Linked DNA regions of Oryzias latipes. Each later gene encodes a partner of the first gene's protein in a complex. Links are inferred from orthologs where the notes say so. Each region holds a gene or a part of one and is shown in the gene's direction. Other genes may lie near its edges. The genes, in order: sf3b1, ddx42, sf3a1, sf3b6, dek, mybbp1a and sf3b4.

Evidence for each region.
Region 2: the proteins of sf3b1 (region 1) and ddx42 are in contact, whole or in part, in a cryo-EM structure (PDB 7EVN), measured with the Homo sapiens proteins. The link is inferred for Oryzias latipes from reciprocal best matches to the Homo sapiens genes SF3B1 and DDX42. Residues at the interface, in NP_036565.2 of Homo sapiens: Pro509, Pro510, Lys513, Arg517, Thr520, Asp557, Arg558, Tyr561, Lys562, Asp565, Leu566, Arg568, Pro569, Ile583, Ala607, Ile610, Ser611, Arg614, Glu622, Arg625, Asn626, Arg630, Pro646, Phe647, Ala650, Val651, Lys653, Ser654, Lys655, Lys656; in NP_031398.2 of Homo sapiens: Asn68, Glu71, Glu72, Tyr75, Phe76, Glu77, Asp78, Glu79, Glu80, Glu81, Asp114, Pro115, Leu116, Glu117, Phe119, Met120, Val123, Ala127, Asp130, Met131, Arg133, Leu134, Gly146, Ile147, Arg148, Ile151, Glu152, Glu153, Glu154, Asp155.
Region 3: sf3b1 (region 1) and sf3a1 share a complex: the UniProt entries of both Homo sapiens proteins name them as parts of the 17S U2 SnRNP complex. The link is inferred for Oryzias latipes from reciprocal best matches to the Homo sapiens genes SF3B1 and SF3A1.
Region 4: the proteins of sf3b1 (region 1) and sf3b6 are in contact, whole or in part, in a crystal structure (PDB 2F9J), measured with the Homo sapiens proteins. The link is inferred for Oryzias latipes from reciprocal best matches to the Homo sapiens genes SF3B1 and SF3B6. Residues at the interface, in NP_036565.2 of Homo sapiens: Trp388, Ile392, Arg395, Asn396, Arg397, Pro398, Leu399, Ser400, Asp401, Glu402, Glu403, Leu404, Asp405, Ala406, Met407, Phe408, Pro409, Glu410, Gly411, Tyr412, Lys413, Val414, Leu415; in NP_057131.1 of Homo sapiens: Arg12, Leu13, Pro14, Pro15, Glu16, Val17, Arg19, Ile20, Ala32, Met35, Tyr36, Arg46, Gln47, Ile48, Arg49, Val50, Gly51, Asn52, Thr53, Thr56, Thr59, Ala60, Tyr61, Val63, Glu65, Asp66, Ile67, Phe68, Tyr92, Ala97.
Region 5: sf3b1 (region 1) and dek share a complex: the UniProt entries of both Homo sapiens proteins name them as parts of the B-WICH complex. The link is inferred for Oryzias latipes from reciprocal best matches to the Homo sapiens genes SF3B1 and DEK.
Region 6: sf3b1 (region 1) and mybbp1a share a complex: the UniProt entries of both Homo sapiens proteins name them as parts of the B-WICH complex. The link is inferred for Oryzias latipes from reciprocal best matches to the Homo sapiens genes SF3B1 and MYBBP1A.
Region 7: sf3b1 (region 1) and sf3b4 share a complex: the UniProt entries of both Homo sapiens proteins name them as parts of the SF3B subcomplex of the 17S U2 SnRNP complex. The link is inferred for Oryzias latipes from reciprocal best matches to the Homo sapiens genes SF3B1 and SF3B4.

What each region holds. Positions count from the first base shown.
Region 1 is NC_019879.2:181,879-186,171, reverse strand, and holds the start of sf3b1 (splicing factor 3B subunit 1), read left to right. Parts: upstream 1-1,493; 5' UTR 1,494-1,591; coding exon 1,592-1,619; intron 1,620-2,662; coding exon 2,663-2,835; intron 2,836-2,960; coding exon 2,961-3,062; intron 3,063-3,145; coding exon 3,146-3,260; intron 3,261-3,376; exon of another isoform or gene 3,377-4,293. Other genes in the region: ankrd44 (serine/threonine-protein phosphatase 6 regulatory ankyrin repeat subunit B), read right to left, coding at 630-656. UniProt on the Homo sapiens protein: Component of the 17S U2 SnRNP complex of the spliceosome, a large ribonucleoprotein complex that removes introns from transcribed pre-mRNAs.
Region 2 is NC_019866.2:4,159,531-4,163,707, reverse strand, and holds the start of ddx42 (ATP-dependent RNA helicase DDX42), read left to right. Parts: upstream 1-1,377; 5' UTR 1,378-1,454; intron 1,455-2,268; 5' UTR 2,269-2,275; coding exon 2,276-2,487; intron 2,488-2,560; coding exon 2,561-2,711; intron 2,712-2,971; coding exon 2,972-3,033; intron 3,034-4,177. Other genes in the region: strada (STE20-related kinase adapter protein alpha), read right to left, coding at 270-327, 600-651, 1,237-1,280. UniProt on the Homo sapiens protein: ATP-dependent RNA helicase that binds to partially double-stranded RNAs (dsRNAs) in order to unwind RNA secondary structures. Unwinding is promoted in the presence of single-strand binding proteins.
Region 3 is NC_019867.2:18,886,040-18,890,255, reverse strand, and holds the start of sf3a1 (splicing factor 3A subunit 1), read left to right. Parts: upstream 1-1,416; 5' UTR 1,417-1,439; intron 1,440-1,550; 5' UTR 1,551-1,592; coding exon 1,593-1,640; intron 1,641-2,132; coding exon 2,133-2,242; intron 2,243-2,324; coding exon 2,325-2,529; intron 2,530-2,603; coding exon 2,604-2,861; intron 2,862-2,945; coding exon 2,946-3,020; intron 3,021-3,085; coding exon 3,086-3,236; intron 3,237-3,316; coding exon 3,317-3,513; intron 3,514-3,617; coding exon 3,618-3,735; intron 3,736-3,839; coding exon 3,840-4,147; intron 4,148-4,216. Other genes in the region: ccdc157 (coiled-coil domain-containing protein 157), read right to left, coding at 1-675, 764-914, 1,052-1,416. UniProt on the Homo sapiens protein: Component of the 17S U2 SnRNP complex of the spliceosome, a large ribonucleoprotein complex that removes introns from transcribed pre-mRNAs.
Region 4 is NC_019882.2:13,000,340-13,003,928, forward strand, and holds sf3b6 (splicing factor 3B subunit 6), read left to right. Parts: upstream 1-1,402; 5' UTR 1,403-1,525; coding exon 1,526-1,555; intron 1,556-1,879; coding exon 1,880-1,998; intron 1,999-2,485; coding exon 2,486-2,624; intron 2,625-2,720; coding exon 2,721-2,810; 3' UTR 2,811-3,089; downstream 3,090-3,589.
Region 5 is NC_019874.2:32,321,396-32,325,445, forward strand, and holds the start of dek (protein DEK), read left to right. Parts: upstream 1-1,250; 5' UTR 1,251-1,346; intron 1,347-2,248; exon of another isoform or gene 2,249-2,506; intron 2,507-2,572; exon of another isoform or gene 2,573-2,806; intron 2,807-2,870; 5' UTR 2,871-2,883; coding exon 2,884-2,956; intron 2,957-2,989; exon of another isoform or gene 2,990-3,025; coding exon 3,026-3,127; intron 3,128-3,197; coding exon 3,198-3,307; intron 3,308-3,366; coding exon 3,367-3,461; intron 3,462-3,526; coding exon 3,527-3,656; intron 3,657-3,759; coding exon 3,760-4,035; intron 4,036-4,050. UniProt on the Homo sapiens protein: Involved in chromatin organization.
Region 6 is NC_019872.2:24,978,417-24,981,916, reverse strand, and holds part of mybbp1a (myb-binding protein 1A), read left to right. Parts: intron 1-424; coding exon 425-532; intron 533-617; coding exon 618-808; intron 809-884; coding exon 885-1,052; intron 1,053-1,303; coding exon 1,304-1,421; intron 1,422-2,172; coding exon 2,173-2,462; intron 2,463-2,543; coding exon 2,544-2,654; intron 2,655-2,721; coding exon 2,722-2,847; intron 2,848-3,500. UniProt on the Homo sapiens protein: May activate or repress transcription via interactions with sequence specific DNA-binding proteins. Repression may be mediated at least in part by histone deacetylase activity (HDAC activity).
Region 7 is NC_019869.2:7,215,952-7,220,175, forward strand, and holds the start of sf3b4 (splicing factor 3B subunit 4), read left to right. Parts: upstream 1-1,424; 5' UTR 1,425-1,484; coding exon 1,485-1,518; intron 1,519-2,109; coding exon 2,110-2,238; intron 2,239-2,323; coding exon 2,324-2,875; intron 2,876-3,354; coding exon 3,355-3,513; intron 3,514-3,703; coding exon 3,704-3,859; intron 3,860-4,224. UniProt on the Homo sapiens protein: Component of the 17S U2 SnRNP complex of the spliceosome, a large ribonucleoprotein complex that removes introns from transcribed pre-mRNAs.

The sequences.
Region 1 (4,293 bases):
TGGGGGCCCTTGGTGGCATCAGAGAGCTGCACCCTCCTCTCCAAACTCTTGTAGTGTGAGGACCCCCCAGGGAAGACGGTGTGACAGCACACTCTTTGAGGGGCCTACCGGCAGCTGTTCCTGAAGAACTGTGACGTCATCAGGTACCCCAGCAGAGCACCTTCATGTGCCACTGAGCTTTTCTGAGGACAGCTGCCGTCTTTGATCCAACACCTGGATGCAGGTGAGGGGAGGAGCCAGGATGTCACCTGCAGCATTCCTCACATTTCAGACCTGCTGTCAGTAACATCTGCGGTTATCAGTAGTGATGATGACACAAACACTGAAGTGAGACACTGGAGGTTTTCCTCTATTTCTGCTTCTGCCTGTTTCCCCCGCAGTTCTGGTTCTGGTTCTGGTTTAGTTCTAGCCCACAGACCCGTTTTTATCAGATGAATCAATGAAGAAAAGGTTCCGCTTGAAATGAGCGGTGAAAACCTTCCGAGCTGAACTTTTTTCTGCGGAAGTTCTTCTTCTCCGTCTGCGCCGCGGTCCGTCCCCTCAGAGGCGGAACCGAGCTCCGCTTTGACCCGGGCGGGATGCTGAGCGGCGCCTCGGAGGCTAAGCTAACGGTGGCTAGCGCACCCTACCTGATCGGCCAGCTTGAGGACCGCCATCTCTGGGTCAGCCGCTGCGACCTGCACGGAGCGATGCTGCGCGGCAAGCGTCCGCCTGGACCGGGGCTGCAGCGGCGTCTACGAGGCTCGTGGGTAACCGGTGCTTGCTGTTGTGAGGAAGGCCGTGCCGGGCTCCACGGCCATCAGCCCTGCTCCACGGACGCTATCCGCGGCGCCGCTAGAACGCGGCGGCCGCGCAGAGTCAAAGGGAGGCGGGACAGGTCTGAGCCGCCGCCGCAAACAACCCGCATCTACGGCTGCCGCTGGTCGGAGATGCCGCGCGGCTCTGGGAGCTTTACGGAGCACGCGGAAGCCTCCGTCCGCCCTGGGTGCAGTGAAGGGATCTGGGGAGACAGCGGGCTGAAGGCAGAGCGCACAGGAAGTGGCAGCGTCCGCCTGTCAGATTCAGAAGTGGAGCTTCCTCAGCAGCATCACCGGCCGCGCGGGTTGCCGCTCGCTGCCGCCCCTAGCGGCCACGCGCGGGGCGCCGCTCGCTGCTGCCCCTAGCGGCCACGCGCGGGGCGCCGCTCGCGGCTGCCCCTAGCGGCCACGCGTGATGAGCCGCTGAGGGGGCAGTGAGCGTAAACATGAATAAAGTTAAGTTAAAAAATTATATACAATAATAGAGAAAAATACATACTTATAATCATTATTCAACAAGGTGAATAATGATAATTATAATACTTATTATTATTGTTGCTGTTTTTTATAGGCTGTTTGCACAGTGGGTTGAGAGGAAAGAAATTTCATCTGTGCTGTAGATCTTGTAAAATTCAGTACATTTAAAAATAAAGCTGACTTAATATAATAATAATAATAATAATAATAATAATAATAATAATAATAATAATAACGTTTCTCTGTCGTGCTGGCTAAAAGAGGCGGAAGAAGAGGTGACGCACTTCCGGTGTCAGTCTCGAACAACCACCGTCAAGATGGCGAAGATCGCCAAAACACACGAAGGTAAAATATCACGAAAACCTGTGAATACGTTGTGTGTGGCCCTCTCTTCAGCTCTTTTGCTTTTTTAAATAATGTATGCGTTTTGTGGTGTCAAATGTTTTTTGAAGTTGTGCTTTGTGGCCGACAAAAACATAAAAAACGAGGCGGCCTGTGACGACGCAACGCGGACATTTTACATAATGGCGCCGGTTGCTAGCAAGCGAGCTGAAGCCTCACACAGCACCTTTGCTACCGTGAAATAGTTCACGTTACTGCGCTAAGCCGTTGAGTTCTGTGTATATTGGTATTTTATTTGTTAGTTTGTTATCTGCAGTTGTTTGGTTTTCTTTGTCCTGTAGATTAGCATATTTAACGCGAACACGCAGCGTGACCAACTTCGCCGTGCTATTTGCACAAAATGTTTTTGCAGTGCAAATGAACGATTTTGCAGTGCAAAACGGTTTTGTGTGAATCTTTGTGGTTCTTCTGTGGCAAAGAACCGATCATCCTATCGAAACCAGTCTGCGGTGTTTTGGGTGCAAACCTGGCCGTTTAGTTCACGAAGAACCGCGGGATGAATGTCAGCAACGTGCGTTTGTAACAAAAGCCCAATCTTTCGTTTAACGTGTGATCAGCAATGGGCGCGTGCTGGAGCGATCAGGCTCAGCTTTTGGTGTGTAAACAAAAGACCAGGCTGGAGCTGCTGTTCAGGATTGATTCATCATTAAGCGAGAAAACTGTTCAGGAGCGCGCTTGTTGCATGAAATTACATTTACAAATTTAGCCGATTTCAATTAAAAAGTCAATCAAAAAACTCAAAAGTCCCCCCCCCCCGTTTATTATGCGACTTAAGATCATTTTTCTACAGCTTTGCTATTTGTAACTAATGAAGTTGACTAAAAAAAGTGTCATTAATTGTTGACATTGAAGCTTTCCATAACTTGTTGTGGTTTTTTATTTTTACGAAAAACCCACATGGCCACAAATCCAGTTTTAACAATAAAATATTGTTGAAAAATGTAATGTATATTCATTCCCACATGTATTTTTACTTGGGTGCTTAGATATTGAGGCGCAGATCCTGGAGATCCAGGGGATGAAGGCCTCCCTGAAAGAGGATGCAGGTCAGGGAGTGGGCCTGGACTCCACTGGCTTTTACGACCAGGAGATCTATGGAGGCAGCGACGGTCGTTTTGTGGGATATGTCACTTCCATTGCAGCCAATGAGCAGGAAGATGTAAGTAAAGATGTTTTACCTGCAGTTTTCAGTCTGCTCCCACCGTGCTTGTCTTGTGTGAGCTAGGAGAGTCTTGCCGCTTTGGCGAGATTTGACTAGACTCTTGTTTCTCTTTCTGTCTTTAGGATGATGAAGATGACACATCGACAAGTTTGTTGGGACAGAAGAAGCCAGGCTACCATGCACCAGTGGCAATGCTCAACTCCATTCCCCAGTCAGATGAACATGTATGTGTTCCTTAACATGACAGGAGGTGCACCTTCTTTCCAGGACTTTGGATCAGAGCCTCATTTCTGTCTCCATTTTGCAGTACGACCCATTCGCAGAGCATCGCGCGCCGAAAATCGCAGATCGGGAAGATGAATACAAAGCTCGTCGCAGACAGATGATCATTTCGCCTGAGCGCCTTGACCCCTTTGCAGACGGTAAATGTCACCCTTTTTTATCCTGCCTCGATGCCTCAGTTTCACTTCTTTGTTCTGTTTCTGTGTTTTTCGTGGTTCTTATGACTCTTCCAAGAAAGCCAGTGGCTTCATCCAGGTAGATTTTCTGTTCAACCCTTCGACCACAGTGTAGTAGACTGAAACCTTCCTTTGTTAAACCCACTGTCAGTGTAAGAGGGTTTGAACAGGCATGGGTCGAAGGGTTAACAACCCCACAGTGGACAGCATGTGAGGGTAAACGGCGTGCACGGGGGCGCAGTCGACCACCCTCCTGAGTCTGAACCCTCAACGGGGCATTTGCTCAGCAGCACCTTCTTACTTTTGTAAGACGTGCTTTGAGAAAACATTGCTTTAAATTTGCCCCTTTAAAGTCTGACTTGCCCCGTTTCCGGACATCCAGGTGTCCTGTGGTAATTCAGGCGTTCAAGCTGGACAAGCAGAGTCTGTTCTGAACTGCTCCAGCTTTCAGGGTGAGCTTCTGCAGCGCCCGTGAATGCTGCTGTAAGCCGCTCACGGTAACGCCTCGCTGCCGCCGACCGGCCCGGGGCCGTCAGGTGTGCTTAGGCCGCGTCAAACCTGCATGTGAAGGCAGTTCTTTGTTCAAAGTTGTTTTGCAAATATATACTTTTATTTTACAAGTCTGTAAAATAGAAAAATGTGATCAAGAAACGTTGTGTACACCAATACCACAGGCCCATACTAACTGTCCTTAATTTCTCTCCTACAGCAGTACTGCTTTGCCAGTCCTGTACTGCACTCTGTTAAGGGTGCAGCAACTCATCCTGTGTAGGTTATGGGGGACACTGTGCACTTGTCAGTTTGGTCAGGGTCCACGGGCTGCTTGTTTGGGGGGCTGTGAGGGGAATCAGCGCAGCTACAGCAAACCTCCACCCCCAGCAGCCTCTTTGATTTGGTTCTTCAGAGACCAAGCATTTATTTAAAGCCTTTGACTACATGTCTTCATGTTGATGTTGAAAAAGAAGTCAAAGACCTGAGAGTACAGACTGAGCAGTGC
Region 2 (4,177 bases), on another chromosome or scaffold:
ATATATATTTTGTTTTTTTTTAAATAATGATCTGCTGCATTAACTGCGCAAAAGATGCAGGAAAGCAGGGCAGCATTTGTTTGCTTTTGTGTCAGAATTTAATCTATTAAAGAATTATTAAAAAAAAAACAATAAACCATTTCAACATGATTTTACACTTCAAACTTAGAGATAAGCGGACTTGATTACAAAATGTTGTTTTTTTTTTCTTGATTATTTTTGAAAGTTCTGGATCTTGTGTTTATGAATTCTTTCAGCTTGAATCTCACCTCGAAATAACTCCAAATCCCGTAGACTCTCCACGCTCAATTTCTCAGATACCCAGCGCTGACAAACACAGAAGGTTAACAATGAGCATGAAAAAGGAAAGAAATGCAAACAAGAATATGAAAATATTAGATGAAATATAAACATAAATATGCCATTAACTACAATTGCAAAAACATAACAGTAACATTGTAAGGGAAGTGAAGTACTTTAATTCATCTTGTTTAACTTTTGAGGAATCCATCCTTCTATGAAAACTGGGGATGTCTAGATTTTGTTTTACATTTATTTATTTGAAAAAAATCAAATCCACAATTAAAGAAAACACTTACAAGAAAAGACATGGATCCTCCTGAGTTTGCAGTTAGTGTAGGTGAGGTTTCTCTTCAAAGAAAGAGCCAGAAACACATTGAAGATTTTTGTGTTTGCTCCACTATCTTTATGTTTACGCAAAAGTAACGAAATAATTATTAAGACTAAGCAGTTCTTTAAAAATCCTTGACAACAAAATTAAGAAATCCATAATAAGCTGTGAGGCGCCAGTTATAAACATTTACTCCAAACTCATTGGGCCATGTTTTGGTTTTGCAACATTGAACCAAATGGCTCACAAAGCAAACAAAAACTAAATGTTACCAACTTTCTACTTCTAAAACAGCAAATTAGTCTAGCAGTAATGACTTTATGATTACAGCTCATCAGAAAGTTTGATAATTTAGGCCAAACACAGCCATGTTTAAATTAATCCTACTAATGTAACAAAAAAATACCAATGTTCAACGTCAGACAGAGTAAAATAATAATAATAAAAATTAAAATAAAGCAACGTGCAAAGACTTGAGTGTCGATTTGCTCAGTCAGTGAACAAGACTCTCTCTTAGCCATGGAGAACGAAGGCTAATCGACGTCAGCTTAGCTAAAGTAGCGACAACAGTGGTGTGGTAGACCGTTTCTGCATTTACAACTTACGGTTTGAATGCATAAATTGATGCTTGGAAAAGTGAGACTATCATAAATCCGTCTTTTTTGTCGTCTTCACAAATTCATCCTTACTGGCGGGATGTTTTTTCCTCGATTGGTCACCGAGTCGCGCCCCTTCGACGACCCGCCCACATTGAAAAGTGGACGCCCTTTGATGACGCAAGCATCCCTGATTTTAGTGGAAGCTTTTTTTGTCACTTAAACAGGTAAATATGTGTGTTTTGTTCGTTTTTAACACATTTGTGATGCATTCATACATTCAAAAATGATTTTGTCCTCCAAAATATAAACTAAGTTCGTTTATCAGCGTTGGAATGTTTTTGCACTTTCGTCTCGGCCTCGCAGCGGCCTTAAGTTAGCTACCTCTTAAGCTAATTCTGTCACATTCTAAATAGTTGTCTACTTTAAATGTTGCAATGTTAAACAATAGTAAGGTTTAACTGGCAAGAATGTATCTGCTCTAAAATATTGTAATTTAAAATTATTGTTGTTATATAATTGCTTATTTTTACGAGAACGATGTCACGTTAGCCTAGGCTAGCCCGGGGAATATAAAAACACGCAGGGTTAGGCGGCCCACATACGAACGATACCTTGTTGATCTGTACATTGTTGATGGCTTTCTTTGTTACACAAGTGACAGCAAAAATGTGATATAGTCTCACGCAAGTAAATAAAATTGGAGAAATTGTAAATGATTTAGTCCTAATGAATAAATACATTATGTATTGTTAAATACCCCCCCAAAAGAGCACACAAAAAAAAAAAAAAAAAACAGCAGCAAGCGTGGAGCAGGATTTTTGGCAAAGTAGATGTGGGATAAAACTCGGCGCTTTTATTATTAATGAGAATGCTGTTCCTTGCCAAAATAAAAACAGAATGAACATATTTTCTTACATGATTTTATGTTATTTTAACTAAACATATTTGGACATATTTAAAGATTCTGCTCATCCAGATAATGCAAGTCTTGTCAAGTAATATTTATCAAACCAACATGTTTTGTTGTTTTATTTACAGGAAAGCTATGAACTGGAATAAAGGTGGTTCGGGTGTGAAGCGGGGGTTTGGTTTTGGAGGCTTTTCCCTGGCAGGGAAGAAAGAGGAGTCCAGCCTTCCTCACAAATCTCACACAACATTTGGGGGCGCTGGATCGACTGGGGGATATGGGAAAGGCCAGCAGCTTCCGTCATTCTACAAAATAGGGACTAAACGAGCCAATTTTGACGAGGAAAATGCGTAAGTGAAGTGCATCTCCTTTAACTGTGCGGATATCAGCTGTACTTTAGGTTTGTTTATCTTTCCACTCTAGGTATTTTGAAGATGACGAAGAAGAGTCCAGTAGCAATGTGGATCTGCCTTACATTCCAGCCGAAAATTCCCCAACACGGCAGCAGATGAAGGCAGGCGGAGGCTCGGACAGTGAAGATGACCCGTTGGATGCCTTTATGGCAGAGGTTGAGGTGAGATGAAAATTGCGCTGAAACGTTACTGATCCGCTAATGTCAAATCAGCACTGAGTCTACATTAAAATGCCTAAAGCCTTCCTTAATGTAGAGCCACAAAATCTACGAGTTTGACCATAAAACAGTTTTTTTTAAAGCTATTTTTAAGCTATTTTTCCCAACAACCTACAAATAACTGTGTCTTGGGGGTCCAAGAACGTGTTTTTAATTGTATTATCATGTGAAAGTAAAATTTGTTGTTGTTTTTTTGGTCACAGAGCCAAGCAGCTCAAGACATGCAGAAACTGGAGGAGAAGGAGAAAGAGAAGAAGGCAAACAAGTAAGACTCAGCTATTTATTTAAGCATACAGACATATGTAAACACGTGCACGTTCTGCATGAGCATTCATACATACAAAAACACACGTGCTGTCAATTGATGCACATTTTTAATCGTGACTAATCGCATAACCTCTGTAGCTAACGCAAAATTAATTGTATATTTCTAGCTGTTTATTAATATAACTGTAAAATCCTATTTTTTATGTTTTTTTTATTTGCAGTCCAAGTTAAAAAGTTTGAAAACTTGATGCCTTAAACAAAACATTTAGTTTTGTAACACTAGAAATCTGAAAGATAAAATAGTTCAAAACAACACACCAGTATTTCCTGCGTTTAAAAGTCAATTTCATCACTAAAAGGAAGGAAATAAAATGTTAGTCAATTTAGTTTATAGCTACAAAAAAATGTGATCTCTAAACTCAAATAAACAGATATTTGGAAAAGTGTAGTTACTACAATACTCAGTTTTAAGCCCTTTCATAGGACTGTCGTGGAAAGAAATGCAACCAAGGTTGACACTGCTCTGTCTCTGGACAGTTGCTAAAGATTAGTAAAGCTGCAGGTGAGCACACCGGAAAGAGACAAGATCTGATTTTGGAGAAAATATCTAGTGACCAATTCAAATTCAATTCAATTCACTCTGAAAAAATCTTTTTTATACCCTTTCCTCTGTGTCTTTAATTTGTTTGATCAGAGAGACAAGCACGCAGATTCTTGTTTACTTGTTTACTGCAGAAAGTGTTTATTTTTAAAAGGTGCTTATGATCCTATTAAACATCAATCTAAATGTAAGTTAAAGACGTTTGTGGTTATGTTTTCTTTTGTAAAAATGACTTCTAAAATTATTGTTTTTAGCTTGTGATTAAGATGCAATCCAATCAAAAAAGTTGACGTTCCAAATATTTGATTTTACGCCATAAAAACGTAATAAAATTGAGAGCGTTAATACAAATACGTAAAACATATTTTTTTAACCCACCTCCTGCCCACACTTTAAAATGTCAGTTACTAAGGTTTCACAGCCACTACTGTGAAAAATCTATGCTTTTTGACATGTGGCTCAACTCAGGTAAGCTGACTCGTTTTAGCTGTGGTGGGGTGTGGGCTTCCTTTGGTGTATGAACAAGCCGCAGGGAAGTTTT
Region 3 (4,216 bases), on another chromosome or scaffold:
TTTATGCTCCTCCTGTTGCTTTTGTTCAGTTTGCTTTGCGCTTCTCTGTGCTTCCTGCAGTGAAAACTCCAGTTGTTCTATATTTGTTTGCTGTTTTTCTAGTTGTTGTTCAAAATCCTTCTGCACTGTTTTTAGTTGAGATCTGATGGCCTCACGATCCGTTTCAGCTGCTGCTACTCTGTCTTGGAGGGGCAGTACCGTTCCCCTCACATCCTGCAGGTGTTTTGCCAGCCTGCGCATGTCTCTGAGCTGTTCATTGGCCCACTGTGCAACATCACCTGGAGTCAGATGTCCCACCCTCACTGTCTCATCCACAACTGCTGAGAGAGGCTGCAGAGATGAGGGTAGACCTTCACTTTGAAACAGATCTATCAAAGATTCTCCAGTTTTTCTCAAAAGAGATTGCACTTGGTGACATGTACCACAAGGGATGAGGGACGTTTGTGCAGTCTGGCAGCTGACATTATGGGAGGCAGTTTTAGGATGGAATGAGGTTTGTTCGGGGGAACTGATGGTGATGTTATTTTGTGGGAGGAATTTAAATGAGCTTGTGGAAGACCAGGATATGGAAGAATGCCTGGAGCAACTTGTGCTGGATCTATTGAGAGGGGACTCGACGTTTGACTCATCAGATTCCACTGAATTTGTCTTTTCTGCAATGTTTTTGAAGAGTTCCTAAAAAGACATAAAAGGCATTTAAAGTCAAATACTTTTGCATGTGTTTTTATCCCTGTGGCATTACTAGAAAAAGAGGTTTCTTTACCTTTTTATCTGCAAATTGAAGTAAATCCCCCCAATAATTCCTGACCACAAGACCAACTGACATGCTGCCTCTGTGTGCAGCTCCTTCTGGTCTGTGGACCCCCATCTGTTGTTCAGCATAAACGCTGACGCTTTGAAGAAGAAACAGGAGCCTTGTTGGGGAACAAGAACATGCAGAGATGCTTTTAAAGTCATTATATATATATATATATATATATATATATATATATATATATATATATATATATATATATATATATATTTTACATGCAATACAACATTAGGTTACCTGTCAATCATCAATTCCAGGAGAATAATGTGGGAATGCTGATTGAAGTCATCTTCTCCTGCCACGAAGTCATATTCCTCCAACAAAGCAACAATGTCTAGATGACAGGAAAGTTTGTCCGGGAATTTCCAGGAGGAAGCGCAGACTGGTCCTGTTCTGGAGAGCACGTCCAGAACCGCACCCTGAATATCGATGAGGTCTTTTCTTAGATTCTTGATAGAATCCTGACGACCCAACAACAAACTCATGTCTAAAACGCTTATTTGGCGCCTATAAGTACTTGTTGACGTGAGGTCTCCTTGGCAACAGTTAACTCCAAGTCCCACAGTTCTTAGCGGATATTTCCGGAAGTAATTGGCCGCCATTGCGTTAACGAAAACGAGACGCGGTGAGTATTAACGTCGACAAATAAAGAATTATAGCTGTATTAGCTATTACTTTTTGACTTACAGAATTTTTTTTAAAGAATTCATTTCAAAATATATGTGTGTTGCTTTAGTGTTTTCAGGTAAAATTGGTGATTCGTTAAAAAGACGCAGCCATGCCGCCCGGGCCTGTTCAAATGGTTCAGCCTGAGCCTAACAACAAGGTAAGGACGCTAACTAGCTAACATTAGCCTCAGATATCCGTCGCTTTTCTTAATGATTTATCGCCTTATAAAATTCGCCCCCTTTATGCAAAGCTTTCTAAGCCTGTCCAAAATTAAATGCTAATGTTTATAAAGCTGTAAAACATATGGGGCAACGTTTGCGTCTATATGTGTGGCCCTAAAAATTCCCAAGTTGAGAAAGTCAATAAAATTAGGTAACAGATATTACTTAAACTATGATTGCACTTCAATATTTGGTATCTTTGCATATGGTTTAGACTAAATGTGTTAGTTGTATTCTCAGGTTTTTAATGATCGAGTGGTTTAATGTTTAAATTGTTGCAGTGTATCTTAGAATTACCTAAAGTAAGTCTTATTAATTAATAAGTGAATTGATAATGTTTGTGTAATAATATTTTTAAGGAGGAACTTCACTGTACTTGATGTTATTTTTAAATATAAATATTCTTACTTTGAACCTTCTCTTGTCAGAATGATACACCTCCGGAGGAAACTCCAGCCACTAAACCTATTGTTGGCATCATATATCCTCCTCCTGAGGTCCGTAATATAGTTGACAAGACTGCGAGCTTTGTTGCCAGGTTGGTTGCCAAAGAACTGTCACGTACAGCTGTAAGAGGTGTTTGCTATCTGTAGTTTGACTCTATACTTGTCACTTTACAGGAATGGGCCTGAGTTTGAAGCAAGAATCCGTCAGAATGAGATCAACAATCCAAAATTTAATTTCCTCAACCCCAACGATCCCTACCATGCTTACTACCGCCACAAAGTCAATGAGTTTAAGGAGGGCAAAGCTCAAGAACCGTCCGCCGCAGTGCCCAAGGTTATGCAGCAGGCTATGCAGCAATCTCAGCAGCTTCCACAAAAAGTAAGGACTGTCTATTTACTGTGCCCGGACCTACAAGGGTTTATATTTATACAAACTTGCCTTTTCTTCATCAGGTGCAGTCCCAGGTGATTCAGGAAACTGTGGTCCCCAAAGAACCGCCTCCAGAGTTTGAATTCATAGCTGATCCTCCATCAATCTCTGCATTCGATCTTGATGTTGTGAAGCTCACTGCCCAGTTTGTTGCACGAAACGGCCGTCAGTTTCTCACCCAGCTCATGCAAAAAGAACAGAGGAACTACCAATTTGACTTTTTGAGACCCCAGCACAGCCTTTTCAACTACTTCACAAAACTGGTGGAACAATATACCAAGGTAAAGGACAAAAATTACAGCTTTCTTTGTTTTTTTATTGAAACTGTGTTATTGAACTTTTTTAAATGTTGCCTCAACCTTTAGATTCTGATCCCCCCAAAGGGTCTGCTGGCCAAACTAAAGAGAGAGGCTGAGAATCCAAAGGAGGTTATGGACCAGGTAATTTATTTTAGCCTTCAGAAGATTATTTTCTATGTTTAAAACTGTCTTGTTACAAACATCAGGTGAGATACCGTGTTGAGTGGGCAAAGTACCAGGAGCGTGAGAGAAAGAAGGAGGAAGAGGAGCGAGAGAAGGAACGCGTAGCCTATGCTCAAATTGACTGGCATGACTTTGTCGTGGTGGAGACTGTGGACTTCCAGCCCAATGAACAAGGTAGCATGACTATAGGAACACCAGGTCCAGATGTTGCAAGAACCATAGTTATTAATTTATTCATTTGGTGTTTTTCCAAGGCCACTTCCCCCCACCTACCACTCCAGAGGAGCTTGGTGCTCGAATCCTCATCCAGGAGCGCTATGAGAAGTATGGAGAAAGTGAGGAGGTGGAGATGGAAGTTGAGAGTGAGGATGAAGAGGATGAACGGGAGAAACGAGCCGGAGGTCAACCCTCACAGCCTGACCAAGACACACAAGTGCAGGACATGGATGAGGTAAACAGTTATCATTTACTACATTTATACAAAGTCCAACACTTGTCTAGGTTTCTTGGTTACTTGTGTAGCAAATTCACAAATTTAAAATGCTACTTCTCCAGGGATCAGATGATGAGGACGATGGAATTAAAGCTCCACTTCCACCTGACAACCCCATGCCACCTCCTCTGCCCCCGACTCCAGACCACGTCATCATTCGAAAAGACTATGATCCCAAAGGTACATTTTTTTCTGTGATTGAAATATTATGAAGTATAAAAACAAGCAAATAAAACAAGCGGTGCATTAAAACTTGTTTCCTTTTTTTTTTTTTTTTTTCACAGCCTCCAAGCCTATGCCCTCAGTTGCAGCTCCAGATGAGTACCTCATTTCACCAATCACTGGTGAGAAGATCCCAGCCAGCAAGATGCAGGAGCACATGCGCATTGGTCTGCTGGACCCACGCTGGCTGGAACAAAGAGACCGCAGCATCAGGGATAGACAGACAGAGGATGAAGTCTATGCTCCTGGTCTGGATATCGAGAGCAGCTTGAAGCAGCTCGCTGAGAGGCGTACTGATATCTTTGGTGTTGAAGAGACAGCCATTGGTAAGAAGATTGGTGAAGAGGAAATCCAGAAGCCAGAGGAGAAGGTGAGTTCCGTAGAAAGTAGCATGGTTTTTGTGAAAAGCATCATTTGAACTCGTTTTTTTATCAACCTG
Region 4 (3,589 bases), on another chromosome or scaffold:
ATACGTTTTTTTCTATTGTCAGTCCTACAATGAGTTTATTATTATTATTACTTTCTTATATATTTTTATGACTTCACAATTTTTGTCGTAACTATGGTCAAAACTTAAACAATTTATCCAATCGGACCGTCAGCAGCTAGCACAGTCCGCTGGCTAAGCTAGGTTAGCCATTGAGGACGGGTTTCTGTAAACGGGCGTTTTGCGAATAAAAAAAAACAACTAAAGTCAATACGAGGAGTTCGGCTATCGTTTTGGTTTACAAAAAATGTTAAACTAAAACTCACCCGTTTATTCATCTCAGACTAAGAAAGCTCTCCTCGCCGAGTTGGTCTTCAACCGTCGATCTTTTTCCACGTCGCGAGACTTCAATAAAACGTCCCTTCTAGATTTTCCTCGAGAGACGCCAGTTTGCCGTTGGAAAAACTCCCGCCGTAATCTGCAACCGTTACCGGACCGAATCATCAAATCCCACATGGCGCCTGCGCACTAATACTTTTTCTTTTCTTTTCGTTTCTTTAACCCATAACCTGTTAATTGCAGAAAATAAAAGCACAACAGTTCAACAAATCATTACCCCATGTTGATTTGTTTTCTCATAATTTTATGACTTTATTCTCATGTCGTCGTTTATTTTTCCTCTTTTATATTGTAATACTTTATCACAATTCTATTTAATATTCTATATATAGTTTTTTTTCTCCGAACATTTTAGAGAAAAAATATTTTTTATTTGTGGTTAGATTTATAAAGGTGATTGTCATCTCGCTTTTTTTTTAAATGTCACAAAAGAAGAGGAATCGAGTACTTTGAATTAAGATCTTTTTTAGACTGTATTTTTTTAAAGAAATTAAAAGCACAGCTTTGTTTTCTGTTTGTTTTTTTATGAGAGATGGTTATTTTTACTAACTTCCCCCTCATAAATATGTATAGAATTTGGATTTTATCTTTAAAGAAAAAAAAGACACAAAAGGGGAGTAGATTCATTTTAACGCCAAAACCCCAATTGTGGGTAAACAGGTCAAACTGCAATTCTAACTAGTGCTCAAATCTCCAATATTTTTCTCCAAAAAAGTTAAATACATAGATTTTGTCAGTGTAGGGAATTTCCTAACACAAAAATGACAAAAAAAACTGTTTTGCATTTTATTGATGTTTATAAGTAATTTTACTTTTCCCTACACATATATCTCATTGCACAACACTTTGATGAGAGAGGTACACATAAGTCTTTTTATTTCTTGTGTCTTGTGAAACCACAAAACCACTTTCATGGCCATGTTGATTTTTTCTAGGTCAAAGAACAGAATTACAAAGAAATTTAAAAAAAGTTGTGTTAATAGTATCTCAAAATGTGTGTGATTCCTCTTTTAACCACACGAGGGAAGCACATGCCTATTGCTGTACCTATTGGTATTATCCGTTAACCGGATGTTCGTCTTCGTTTTGTCCCTCCATTTCCTGGTGAAGGCTAAAGGCATTGCGTGTTTGTTGTTTAGCTATTGTTCAGACGAAATAAACTGTCATCATGGCTATGCAAGCTGCGAAACGCGCTAATGTAAGGTCAATTTTTGTGTTTAACTTTACTATATAACAACGAGTATATGTTAATATGGTTTTTGGTGCTCACGAAAGGGACAATTAGCCCTCCGTTAGCCTTTAGCAGCTATTGGTTACTAAAAGATAGCGTCGCTACGTAAAAAAATTAATAAATACGGCATTTTGAAAATGAGATGGTAAAATTGATTGTTTTGTCATCTTAAAATTTTAAAGAATTATTATTGTTTTAGCACGTTAGAGGGTACACTTTAGTGAAGAATTCTTATACCGTTTGTTTACATGCTAGTCTTTCTGTTACACATTTCTTTTTTGTGTGCTGCAGATTCGGTTACCTCCAGAGGTGAACAGAATCCTATACATAAGAAATCTGCCTTACAAGATCACGGCTGAGGAAATGTACGACATTTTTGGCAAATATGGACCCATACGTCAAATACGAACGTAAGTGTTTTGTCTTCATACCTTCAGTTTTATTTGTTTATTTTTAATTTAAAAAAATGTCTGTCCTAAACACACAACCACGTCTACTAACAATGAATATATATAAATGTAATTTTTTTACATGGTAGTATTAATGAGAAGCAAAATTTATTTAAAAAATCGTTTCATTCCAAACTGTGGTGTAGCATTTGCTTAAATTTGACATTTAAATCATTATTAATCATATTAAAAATGCTTGTTTTGTTTGTTCCCCTCACATGTTATCATCATTTAAGAGTCCCTCTTAGATCACTTTTTCATATGTTTTCAGACAATAAAATAAATATGTAAATAAGCTCAATATTCTTTCATATATGTTGTCCTTCATCAGAAAAATGCCATGAGAAAATGTTTTAAAACAGTTTTCATCAGAGTGGGTCTTTAAGGACAATATTATTATGGAACAGGTTAAGATGTGTGACCATTTCATGCTTTTGCTGTATTTTAGGGGTAACACACCTGAAAGCAGAGGAACGGCGTATGTTGTTTATGAAGACATATTTGATGCCAAGAACGCTTGCGATCACCTGTCAGGCTTCAACGTCTGCAATCGTTACCTGGTTGTTCTTTACTACAACGCCAACAGAGTACGTATGCTTTTTATTTCATCCATTTACAACCTTTTTGGTTCCTTGTTTGTTTGTTTTTTTCTGTTTACCATCAACCCGCTCATATTTTTGCAGGCTTTCCAGAAAATGGACACAAAGAAGAAGGAAGAGCAGTTGAAGCTCCTAAAAGAGAAATACGGCATCAACACAGACCCTCCCAAATGATCTCCACGACTATCAAAACCTTCTCACACACCTTAGATTTCTCTGTACCTGTACAAATGTTCCCTTTTTTGAAAATTTTTGCTTGGTCAGGTTTTTGTTTTGGTGCTTTTGTCAACCTTTTATGCATGACCTGCCGTCTGCTTTTTTTAAAAATGACTTCTCTGATGTTAATTGAGCTTTTAATTTGAAGTGAAACCAGGCATGTTTTCAGTTCAGTTCTTTCCCCCCCCCCCACATAATTTTATTTGAAAGTTAACAGGTCTCTGCCTTGTGCTCCAAGAACATCAATGGATGTAATGTTTGTTTAAACCCATTTATTGTAAAATAAATGTCTCTTTTTCTTTAAACCCATTGTCTTTTGTTTTATAAACACCACATATGAACTCACTTTACTCTTGTTTTGTAAACCTGTCACATCAGCTAATTTTTCTTTTTTCCCCCACATTTACACACAAACAGAAAAGTATCTTTTGAGAAGCTGACCGTCATTCAGTCTTTTCCGTCCATCCATCTTAACCTGCTATATTTGTTGCTGGAGCCTATCCTAGCTGTTGTAGGGCAAAGGTGGGGTACACCCTTGTTTACGGAACAGTCAGCCAGAGGACCTGAGAGCTGCAGAGAGCATAGCTGCTTTTAAGAAAAGCTTCAAGACCCATCTTTTTCAACTGCCTTTTAGCAAATGTTTTAATAGTTTTTATTTATTTTGAATTCTTTAATTTATCCACTTTATCATATTTTATATTTTTACATGGGACTATCCATTTGTTTTAAAATTCCTC
Region 5 (4,050 bases), on another chromosome or scaffold:
CTATCTTAGATGACCCCCCCCCCCCTTCCATTGAGGTGTTCTCCTACCATGACAAAGGTGGATAAAGGTGGAAAGATTTCCTGTAATCCATGGACACCAGTGAAGATCACAAATCATTGAAGAAAAAAGGTTCAGAGCACTGTCTAGTGGGTCTAGATGACCCCACTCCCAACGTTAAAGTGTCTAGGATAGAACAAGGGTTACCTATACAATGCTACTCGCATGTCTTTGGATGATTTCACAGCTAAATATGATTCAAATAGAAAAGATTTTGAAAACATTATTAATGCCGTCCCTCAAAATGTTGTAAATCAGTCTCTGATCTGTTTCATGATGTCATCTACAGACGTCCTGCTGTCTCCACGCTTCTGGTTAATGGACACAACACAGCAACGTCCAAACCCCCCAACCACCACATCAGAGAATGTTTGAATGAAACATATTTTCCCTGCATCTCAAATCCTGACTATTTAACCCAATATTTTAATAATTCAGAAAATAAACAAATAGGAACTAAATATTTCAACCCCCCCCCCCCCCCCCCCCCCCCATCCCTCCTAAAGCCAAGGAAGTCCACTTTAACACCTTTTCAGGTATTTACCCTTCCAAGGAATTACTAAGAAAACAGTTTGGAATTCCTGAAACCTGTTGTTTTCTTCATGTGGAGATGAAACAACTGAGCAACTTTTCTCTGAATGTTTTCCTTCTAATGTCATTTGGAATAATTTACATTATTGGCTTTTCCCCAAGATTCCACGTTTAGCAGAATTTTTCTATTAAGGACATTATTTTTGGGTTTATTTTAGAAAACAAAAACACAGAACTTATTCTAAATGTTGTAATTTTTTGGGTAAATTCTCTAAACATAAATGTCGATTCCTTAAAATCATGAAGAAGTCTGCTCTTTTTTTTCATCCGTTAACGTCATGGAAAATAAACGATGGAACTTCAAAGTATCAGAGGTAATCTCCTAAGTTATTGATCATTACGATATCCATGTGAGCCCCTCATTTTATTTTATTTTAATCTTTTTATCTTTTTAAGTATTTTTCTGTATTAAACTTTTTTAATGTTGTTTACATTTTTCTATTCCTGTTGTAATTGTAACGTGTTGAATTATTTGCCACAATACTGTAAACCTCAAGTGTTTTTTCAATAAAAGAAAATAAATAAAGTAAATTAAAATGTAAGCAAAAAGAAACTTCCTCTGGTCCTCCAGACCGGTAGGGGGCGGGACCAACCCGCCTGAACCAGAAAAAGAAGACTGTCCAATGAACAGAGCGGCCGCTGTAAGCCCCGCCCTCGAAAGAAACCGCCATCGTGAAATCAAACGGGCGCAGTGACAGGTAAGCCGCGCGCGGGTCTTCATGAAACGGTGAACGTTTCCACAGCTCGCGGGATTCGTGCCGTTACTATACGTGTCTCCGAACTGCCGCCGTTCGCGTCACACGGCAGTTAAGTCAGTGCGTGCAGCGCGCGCGCGCCGCTCAAACGATTGTTTGTTTCGAACTGAGCTCTTCTGCGCATGCTCAATGGGGAACTAACCGGCGGCGCGCGGCTAGGATCTGAGCTTTTCTACTTTATGCTTAGTTTTCTTCTTTTGTTTAAGCGCACCTACCCACGTGCACGCCCTGAAACTGAGCGCGTGGCGCCTGAAAGTAGGGAGTCTGTAGGAATGGCCCAAATGGAGTCCTTTCCTTTATCAATAACAGATGACGGACATACATGCAGCCACTGTGTGGATGAAAACCCCTCTGATGAAAAACGCTGTTTTTGATGATGGAGACATAAAGAACATTAAGATATAAATGGATTTTTCTGTTTCCAAGTCGCTGTGAATCAGGAGCAGATGAAAAAAAAGACTGTTTGAAAACGCTTGTAGGTGTGAGGTAGGAGCTACAATGGGCGGGGCCGCAGTCTCAAAGCTCCGCCCCTTTCCGATCATCCACCTGCAGACCAACCGATTCATGGTCGTCTCTGTTTTCCTGGTCTGAGCTGGAATCTGGATCAGAACCGGACGGCTGGATGGCTCTGATGCTGCTGTTACACTGCTAATGTTGGGTCGTGAGGGGCTGTAAGCTAGCAGGAGAGAGTTAACGGAGGGATGATGGGATGTGGGGGTGGGCTTAAGCGTTCCTGCCCACAACAGAATTTCTGATGAGCTCTGCAGAAACTGTGTCCCACAAAACAACACAGCTTTTTGGGTTTTGTCTAAAAAGGACCTCATCAGTAAAAGACGACTCTGGAATCGGATCAACAGATGAACTTTAATGCATAAAAACATCAACGATGGTCCGGACTGCAGAGTTCGTCCTCCTAAAACTACGGATCCTGGAATAAAGGATCGTCCGGACTGATGTTAGTGAAAATCACGACTGATCCGTCTAAATCCTCCAGTTCTTTACATCCGTGTCTTCTGGGTCCGGATCAGAGGTGTTTAAGGTTCCGCCTTAACTGACCCGCCAACGGGAGAACTGGGTTCTGCAGCCGGTCCTGTCATTCTACCCTGGAATAAGGAAACGTTTCAGGTTAGCGGTGTCTGTGACCTTTGACCCCGCCCATGCACTTGATGGAAGTTCCCTTTGGAAAACGTTAGTCTGAAGCTCCTCAGCAGAGACTTGAACGTGACCCGCTGGTGTAACGTCTGCAATGTTCAGGATGAAGACGACCAAACGGTTTCATGGAATTTTACCGCCGATCGTGTTTCTAACCCGGTTGGAACGCGACCACACGCGGATCAGAACCAAAGCGTTTTCTTCTACAGAGTAGAAGTTCTCCTGGAACGGCTCTGGTTCTGTCCGTTCCGGTGAGCTCAAATCAAAGGCTGTGTGTGATGTCATTGTTTGTAACGGTGATGTCATCATCTGCAGGACTCGCGCCGCCATGGGCAGCTCCGCGGCGTCTGAGGAGGACCGTGAGGAGGCGGGTCCGGACCGGAGCGGATCCACGGAGTCCTGTGAGGACGACGGAGCTATTCAGGTGAGCTCACCTGCGTACCTGCTGCTGAACGTCTGCTCTGCTGCAGCCGGGGGGGGCGACGTCCTCCAGGGGAAGCGGGCCAAGAAGACGGTGGAGAGGCTGGACCTCCAAGCCCCCAAGCAGAAGGAGAAGCTGAAGATCGGAGACGGTGAGCGGCCGGAGCCAGCCCGACCACTGTGGACCAGCAGCTGACCACAGGTTCGATTCCCGCCCTGCAGGTACTGGAGACAAGCTGGGGGACATTCCTCGCACCGCCCACCAGATCAGCAGGATGAAGCCAGCAGACCTGAAGCCGCTCCATTCCATCCTGTACGACCGACCCGGGAAGGTAAAGCCCACAGGCGGCCCGGTCCGCTGAGAACGTTGTGCTGACCGAATCCCTTCCAGGTGTCCACCATGAAGAGGAACCTGCGTCTCTTCAACGGGTTCCCCTTCCAGGCGGACAGCGAGCAGTTCCACCGGAAACGGGACAAGCTGCTGAAGTGAGTGAGAGCCGGAAGAAGGTCCGCTGGTCTCTGGCAGAAACCACAGCCGCTCGTCTCCACAGGAGCTCCAACCTGAGCAACAGCAAGCTGAAGGTGGTCTGCACCGTGCTGGACCTGGAGAAGAAGGGCACCCACGCCGACCTCATCCACAGGATCCTCAGCTTCCTGCTGGCGCCCAAGAACAGCGGCAAGGTGAGTCCAGACCTGGGACCCCAAGGAGGACCCGGCTCCTCTGGAGAGGAGCCACCTTCCTCCTTCAGCTGCTCCTCTCAGCACCTCCTGCTTCCTCCTTCAGCGCCTTCCTGTGAAGAAGAGGAGGAGGTCCAAGAAGAAGCTGACCAGTGAGGACTCCAAGAAGAAGAGCAGGCCCAGAGAGCGCAGCTCCTGCAGCCCCAAGAAGTCCAGAACAGGAAGCAAGTCCAAAGCCATCGTCATGGACTCCAGCAGCGACGACGAAGACGAGGACGAAGACGAGAAGACGGGAGCTTCGGCTACGGCGGCAGAGTCTGACGGAGAGAAACCTGCTGATGAAGAGGAGCAGCCCTCAGAGAGATCAGACAATGAAGAGCAGGTAAGTCAATATTGA
Region 6 (3,500 bases), on another chromosome or scaffold:
CATTGTCAAAGAGAAGAAGTAAATAAGAAAAAAAGCAACAGATTTCACATAATTAAGGGGGTATTAAGACTTTTGGACTCCATCCGGACAAAATTAAGCGGACTGGGTCTGGAACAAACGGTCTTTTCCAGTCTGAATACACCCATAAAAAACCGCTTCAATGAAAATTGTGTTCTTGGTGTTTTATAACAACTCAGAGGTGAATTTCTAATAAACCACTACTGCTTTGCAGAGACTATGTCCTACAAAACAACAGATTTTTTTTTTACATTTTGGCTACAAGCAGCATAATCATAATTAAAAGACCACTGGGGACACTTTGAAAATCTCTCAAAAGATGTTTGGAGTGGGTCTTTGAAGATCACAGCTATATTGGGGGGGAGACAGGTTTTTGTGTTGTGGTCTCAGCATTGTGTGTCTACAGGAGCCGCAGGTGGTGCTCGCATGTGTGCAGCTCCTCCAGAGCCTCAGCCCGCACAAACAACACCTGAAGGACCTGCCCACCAAAACCATCATGGACATCCTCACAGAGGTACCAGCTGCTGCTCTGTCACTCCTTTAACTACTCATTACTACAATCTGAACGTTTACCATCATGATGCCGTCTCGTCCATCAGATCCCAGAGGAAGTGTTTGAGGAGGTCCTGCTGAGCGCCCTGAAGTCTGACCTGGCGTCCGCCTTCAACACTCCAGAGCAGCTGCAGCTGCTGCTTGTGGCTTTGCAGCGCTTCCCGCAATCGCTCAAACCCAAGAAGCTGAAGAAGCTGCTGGGCTCGGCCACCATCATCAATGCTGACAACGTCCCCAGGCAGGAGCTCCGTGAAGGTTTCTCCCCATTGGTCACGTTTGACCCAAATGAAACGTCTGATCCACGTCCCTGTTAGGCTGATCGAGGTGTTGAAGATGGCGGCGCACTCGGTAAAGAAGGAGCTGATTCTCCCAGCGGTGGCCCTGGACCTCCTGAAGCTCTCTCTGAAGGAAGACAGCTTCCAGCTCTTCTGGAACAAAGCCGTCACCGAGGGCATGTTCAAGGAGCCGTCCGGGCCGACTCAGTGAGTTCATACCTAAAGGGAGAAAGGTGAAAAGTCAAAAGAGGTTCTTAGTGATCTGCTGCAGACGTCCGTTTCTGCTGTTTCTGCTTGATTTTTTTCCTTCACTTAGAACCGCTGATATAAATGACCTTTAGTTTTTGACATGTGATTAGGTGATTAAAGCTCGGACTTTTCCATTCACAGCTGCTTCTGGCATCTCTGCAGAACGTTTGTGCTGACTTGCTGTCCTGTGTTCCTCCCGTTTCTGTCAGTTACCTGAGCTTCCGGCTGCTCGGCAGCGCCCTGCCTCTGCTCTCCTTATCCCAGCTGAAGGAGGTTCTATCCGGAGAAGTGATGATGCACTATGGAGAACATGTAGTGTCTGCTCAGGTCAGTGTTCAAATCACAAGGCTTGAACTTTTTAAACTGCAAAAAAAAAATCACAATTTTTTTTGTTACTTTTAATTTAAAACTGTTTCATGGAAGCTGAAAGCGGCCTACCCTAATTTTTTTTTCTTCTGATAAAAGACCAAGTCTTGAGTGACATGCCGTCATTCCTGCCTGCCCCTCTCATGCATCATTCTGTCCTCTGATCACTAATGAACTCGACAACAACCACATGATCACTAGACTGTAGGTGCAGCCGGGCCAACCTTTTCCTCAAATGACGACCGAGTTGAACGTCGTACATGTTTTCCAACCTACCTGCCATTGAAGCTCCTTATTGGCTGGTCCAGGTTAAAAGTAAAGGGACTTGAAACAGATTACATCTCGGCATCTTAGTGTGGGAAAGAGAGAGATGGACGCCACAGTGTAGTCTTTATCATGACAAAACGACATTTGTTATCTCATGATGACGTGATAATAGATGTCGTTATCACGAGAAACCAGTCAATCTGATTTTTCCTTCACAAGCCAATCCTGATTTGACCCCATGTATTCATGCCTGAAATATGAAGAGAATACATATAGAGCTTTAAAAATCACTTTTATCTGTTGACCAGCGACAGGAACGTTGGTCATTTTTGCTGCCTATGCTGTTTATGGTCATATTCTTACGTTGCTTGAACTATTGTGTCATAAATAAACTTTTGGAGTTGAGTTTCCTCAGAACTCCTTCTTCATTTTCCTTTTTTTCCAGAAACCAGATCGCTTCAAACTGGCCCCAGAGATGGAAAAATACGTGTCGGACTTCCTGAGGGACTGCCAGGACTCGGATAAACAGCTCGCCGTCGTGGTGGCCTTCTCCTCGCTGACCAACAACGGCTACCCCGTGGTGCCATCAGTGTGGAAGGTGGTGCAGCACCTGCAGCCTGCAGCTCTGCAAAGCTACGTGGCGTGGCTCAGGAGCATGTTTCTGCAACCTCAGATGACAAAGTTGCTGGATTTCAGCACACGCAAGCAGAAGGACAAGCAACAAGTACAGCCAGAGTGAGTTTGTTCGTGAAGATTCATGCAAATTGTGATGCAGAGAAATGGAAGCGTGGAACAATGCTGCTCGTCTTCTCCCAGGATGGAAACTCCTGTGTCCCGCCTGAGAAAGTGGCTCGTTGCTCGACTCTGTTCAATCATCGATAACCATCAAGTGAAGAAGGAGGAGGCTCTCATCATGGATGTGGCCCGGTGAGAGTAGCTCTTTGTGACGATGAGGAGGTAGCGAGGAGAAATCTGAACTGATTTTTCTTTCCAGGTTTGTGTTTTTTCACGCTTTCTTCAGCACCAAAAAGGTTTCTCAGGACATCAAAGAGACCCAAGAGACGCTCTCCGTTTCCCTGGATGATAAAACCAGGGGGGCGCTGGTCAATTCTTTCTTCGGGTAAGTCTAAAGCTTTTCTCCTCACCGTCAGAAAAAGAAAATGTTTTCTGACAAACTGAAGGGGATTCTGACCGATCTTCTTTGCAAGATTCCACAAAAGTTTTTAATGTTTCTGTAACTGAAAAGACATTTTTATCTTTCATTTCTATTCCTAAAACTGAGAGATTTTTAGTAAATCTGATAAACAATTCCGAGCTACTTGAACAGTTTAGCTTATACATTTATTTGTCCTTTTTGACCGTTTCAGAAAAACATTTCATTTAAACTGAACATAGCTGGAACTTTTATTAATCAGGAAAAGAGTTATGACCTTAAAAACTAATCCAAGAAGTATTTTTTTGGTTTGTTTTCATGCTGATTTGAACCCGTTTTCCTAAACTCAGTCATAGTTAGCTCTGAGTTAAAGTCAAACGTGAAACCCTCTGAAGTTTGCAAAAACTAATCTGAGGTGAAGTTTTTAGGAAATTCTCTGGATTTGTCCAAATTTCACTCTTTGAGCTTCAAAATGAGACGACCCTTAATGTTTTTGCTCACCAGTGGTTTGGTCTTGGAATTCTACCATGTTGGTCATTTCTGGCCAGTATCTTTCTGTTGGTGGAGTCATGAACACGGACCGTAATTGAGTTAAGTGAGGCCCGCAGTTCTTTGGATGT
Region 7 (4,224 bases), on another chromosome or scaffold:
CTCAGGTTTAACAAGAATTAGATGGTAATCTGTCATCATGTTCCTTTTGTCTATTGTAGACTTCATTGTATGTGGTGAGAACACCAGCAGCCGAATGTATGCTCTGTGTCACCGACAGAAGGACCTACAATGCTGCTCTGGTATGGATTGTGTTTGAAATGTAGATGGATCAGGATTCAGTGTTGGTTAGAGGTACAATAAGAAGGTTAGAAAAAGGAGTTTGGAAAGTTTCTGAGCTGCTTTTCCTTTTTTGGTTTGAGATACCACAACTTTACATTGAGAAAATAAAATACAACCTCATAACACTTGTTGAAAAGTAAAAATCTTTATAGTTAGGCACCCTATAAACATGAAGGCAGTTGATCCGGTGGTCTTTTGAAGACGCTTGTGAATGCAGTTTATTGGACTGTCTCTACTTAAAAGATCAGTCTGGATTTAGGCAAATTAAACAGCAGGAGGGCTGGCATTTGTGCAGCACAATAAAAGTTTAGGAATTGGCAACATAAAATAACAGAAAATTATCCAAAAGACTGAGATTAAAGTCTACCATTTGGAATTGTGTTATGTTGATACAACTTTAAGAAAATAGGTAGTATTTGATTGTAAAACCTTTCAAAAACATCTTAATTAAAACTTTTTGGCCTTTACACTTCTTACATAATGGATCTGTAATTTGCTCAGTTACTTGAAACATTTGAAAGATTTCTAATGAGACTTAAAAGGAATGAACAGTTTGACTGAAATAAAAATTTGTTTTTTTCTGCTAAGTCTGTGACTCAAGTTGGATTAGTCAAAAGACTTTTTTCCTTTTTCTTTTCGTTTGATTATTATTATTATTATTTTTAGAAACAATGATTGCAATATCATAAGAGCCATCAAAAAATGATCTGAACATCTTTTTTATTAAGCTTTTGGAGACTTTGACCTATGTGTGTCCTTTTTGTTTCTTACTTTTCTAAATGAGCAGCCATTTTTAGCTCTTAATGTTCATTTTTTTTTAATGTAAAAGTCTCAGCTCTGTACACAAATGCATTTCACTTATGTTATTATTGATCAAGGCTTTTTTAACCCATTTTTATATATGCATTTATAAAATGAAAACATTGGCTTTTTGTGTTTTGAACTTTGTTGCATGACATGCTTTTTTATTTTATTTTGATACAGTATTGTTTTATAAAAATGGTTTTATTATGCCCAAATTGTATTTTGTATGAACAATTTGTATTCCATGTTTATACTTTTAGTAGATTTATATAAAAATGTATATAAATATGTAATAAATTGGTCCGTACAAAGTTTTGAACTTTATCTGGTCTTGTGTTTTTATTGTTCGATGCTATTAAAAAAATAATCTAAAACGAAGCAAAGATATTGTATTTTATTTTTTGAAAGAGGAGTTCATTTTATATTATAACTTCCGGTTTGCTGAACAGGAAGAGGCGGAGCTTCCTACATGAACGCTTCTGGTGCGTTGGTCATTCAACATGGCCGCGGGACCAATTTCTGAAAGAAACCAAGGTAATTTACGGAATTATTACCCATTTCTTTTGACATTTAGCCGTGCATAAATGTATGTAATGTGTAGTAACACCCAACAAGGGCACATTTTTCCTCATAGAGCGAATATGGATCCTAAAATTAGCTAATATTCTTCTGTTGAAACCGGGTAAACACATGGAGTGAAGCGGCTTTAGCCTAGCTTGTAGCTAATAAAGCCATTCTCCCAATTAATCGTTTATCGAATTTGCACTTTAGATGCACGTCCTTTTATATAAGCATTAAGCTGTGAAAAAACGTATACTCATTTCCATTGTTGCAAATCTATAAATAGAAAGAGAAAAAGCAATATTTTATGCCAGGAACTAATACTAAACAACTGCAACTTCTTTCATAATTTAACTTCAGTTCATTGACCTCATTTTATTCTTACCAGGCAGCATGATCATTAAATTTTTCACAGTTTCAACAATGGTTTTAAAAAGAACTAATGAAACTTTAAGTGAACATAAATATGGTCATTTCTTTTTGTAATTCGTATTCATTAACTTGTGTCAGAAAGTGGAAACCTTTGTAGTGTTTTACTCACCAAGCCTGCTCTTGTCTGTCCAGATGCCACGGTGTATGTCGGTGGGTTGGATGAGAAAGTGTCGGAGCCGTTGCTATGGGAACTCTTCCTGCAGGCTGGTCCTGTGGTAAACACGCACATGCCCAAAGACAGGGTCACGGGTCAACATCAGGGTGAGTGCACTTTCAGTTGGTCAACAAGATTGAACAATTATCTTCTTAGAAAATTATCTTTACAAAATTGTTTTTCTTTATTTAGGTTATGGCTTTGTGGAATTCCTCAGCGAAGAGGATGCTGATTATGCTATTAAAATAATGAATATGATCAAGCTCTATGGAAAACCCATTCGAGTCAATAAGGCCTCGGCACACAACAAAAACCTGGATGTGGGTGCGAACATCTTCATCGGTAACCTGGACCCAGAAATCGATGAGAAACTGCTCTACGACACATTCAGTGCCTTCGGTGTGATTCTCCAAACACCAAAGATCATGAGAGACCCAGACACCGGCAACTCCAAGGGTTACGCTTTTATCAACTTTGCCAGTTTTGATGCTTCTGATGCCGCCATCGAGGCCATGAATGGCCAGTACCTCTGTAACCGGCCCATCACTGTGTCGTACGCCTTCAAGAAAGATTCTAAAGGGGAGCGCCACGGCTCCGCCGCAGAGCGACTCCTGGCGGCGCAGAATCCGCTGTCCCAGGCGGACAGGCCCCACCAGCTGTTCGCTGATGCCCCACCACCTCCCTCTCTTCCCACCCCGGTCCTGACCACACTAGGAGCTGGAATGGGTATTCCGGGCATGGGAGGTGGGTGTTACGTCACATTTATGTGAAAATAGTTTTGTTTTTTTAAAGACTCGCTTTTATGAACATTGTCTTTTTGATGTATTTTTGTGGCATTTTTCTGATGATAGAGACAAAGAAAATGTAGCTCAAACTTGCATTTGACTGCAAACTGCAAAAATTAAAAACTGGATTTAAATCTGAAGCAGACAAAAAAAAAGGATTTTTCTGTAGTTTTACATAACTACTGCCATTCCGCAGAAACTATGTTCTAGAAAACAACACAGGATCTTTTGATTTTGGCTAAAAATGGCATCATCACCATCATCATTTTCATAAAAGACCGCTTTGAAAAAAGATCAAAGGATGATCAGTGTGGGACTTGTGTTTTGTGTTAGCCTAAACAAGTGTTTTTACAGATACAAATTAGCAATTAGCTGCAAAAATACAAACAAATGTACCCACAAGTCCTTCAAGTAGATTGTGTTGATTTGTGTGTGCAGGTCTGCCACCTCCTGGTGCCTTTCCCCCTGTTCCTCCCCCCGGATCACTCCCTCCTTCCATGGCCCATGGCATGGGGATGCCTCCATCAGCAGGTGGCCCACAGGGTATTGGCGGTCCAGGTGGACCACCACCCTTCCCGCCTGGAAGTATGCATCCAGGTGAGACATTGTGACTTCTTAAGAGTGGTTTTTGTCTTTCTGTCGGAGGAAATACAGAGGTTTTGAGCCTCAGAGCCGCGTTTACTTTGTTTGGCATCCGCATAAACATCTGAAAGTCAAAGCCTGTTCTCGTTTTAGTATCTAGTTTTTCTTCCCGCCACCTCCAGTTTGATCCGTTTCTGTCACTCAGGTATGCCTCAGATGCCCATGCACCCTCCCGCTCCGCCTGGCATGGTTCCACCTCCTCCTGCTCCACCAGGATCATCCCAACGCGCCCCGCCCCCCAACCTCCCCCCACCCCCGCCTATGGGCATGCCGCCCAGAGCACCATATGGACCCCCCATGGGTGAGTGTTATGACGCCTCTTCATGTCTCTGTCAAATAGAAAAAACACCTGAAAGGAAAAACGGCGTTGAAGGAAGTGTCAGAGTTGGCAGGATTTGGCAGAGACGCTCTGAAAGTGATGTAATGGGGGTTTGGTAAGGAACCAGGTCCGCCAATCATCTCAGTCACTGACTTACATTTATGAAATCACCTGTGCTTGTAGCATCCTAATATTTGAGTTGTTGATAAAGTAAAACTTCAAACAAATACCTACCTTTTCAAACTAAACTTGCTAATGAATTATTGTCAGCTGAATTAAGGATATCCTGATCAGATTCAGAGTCGTTTGGTTTTTAGTTTTGATTTGATCATTTTAGACTTAAACAG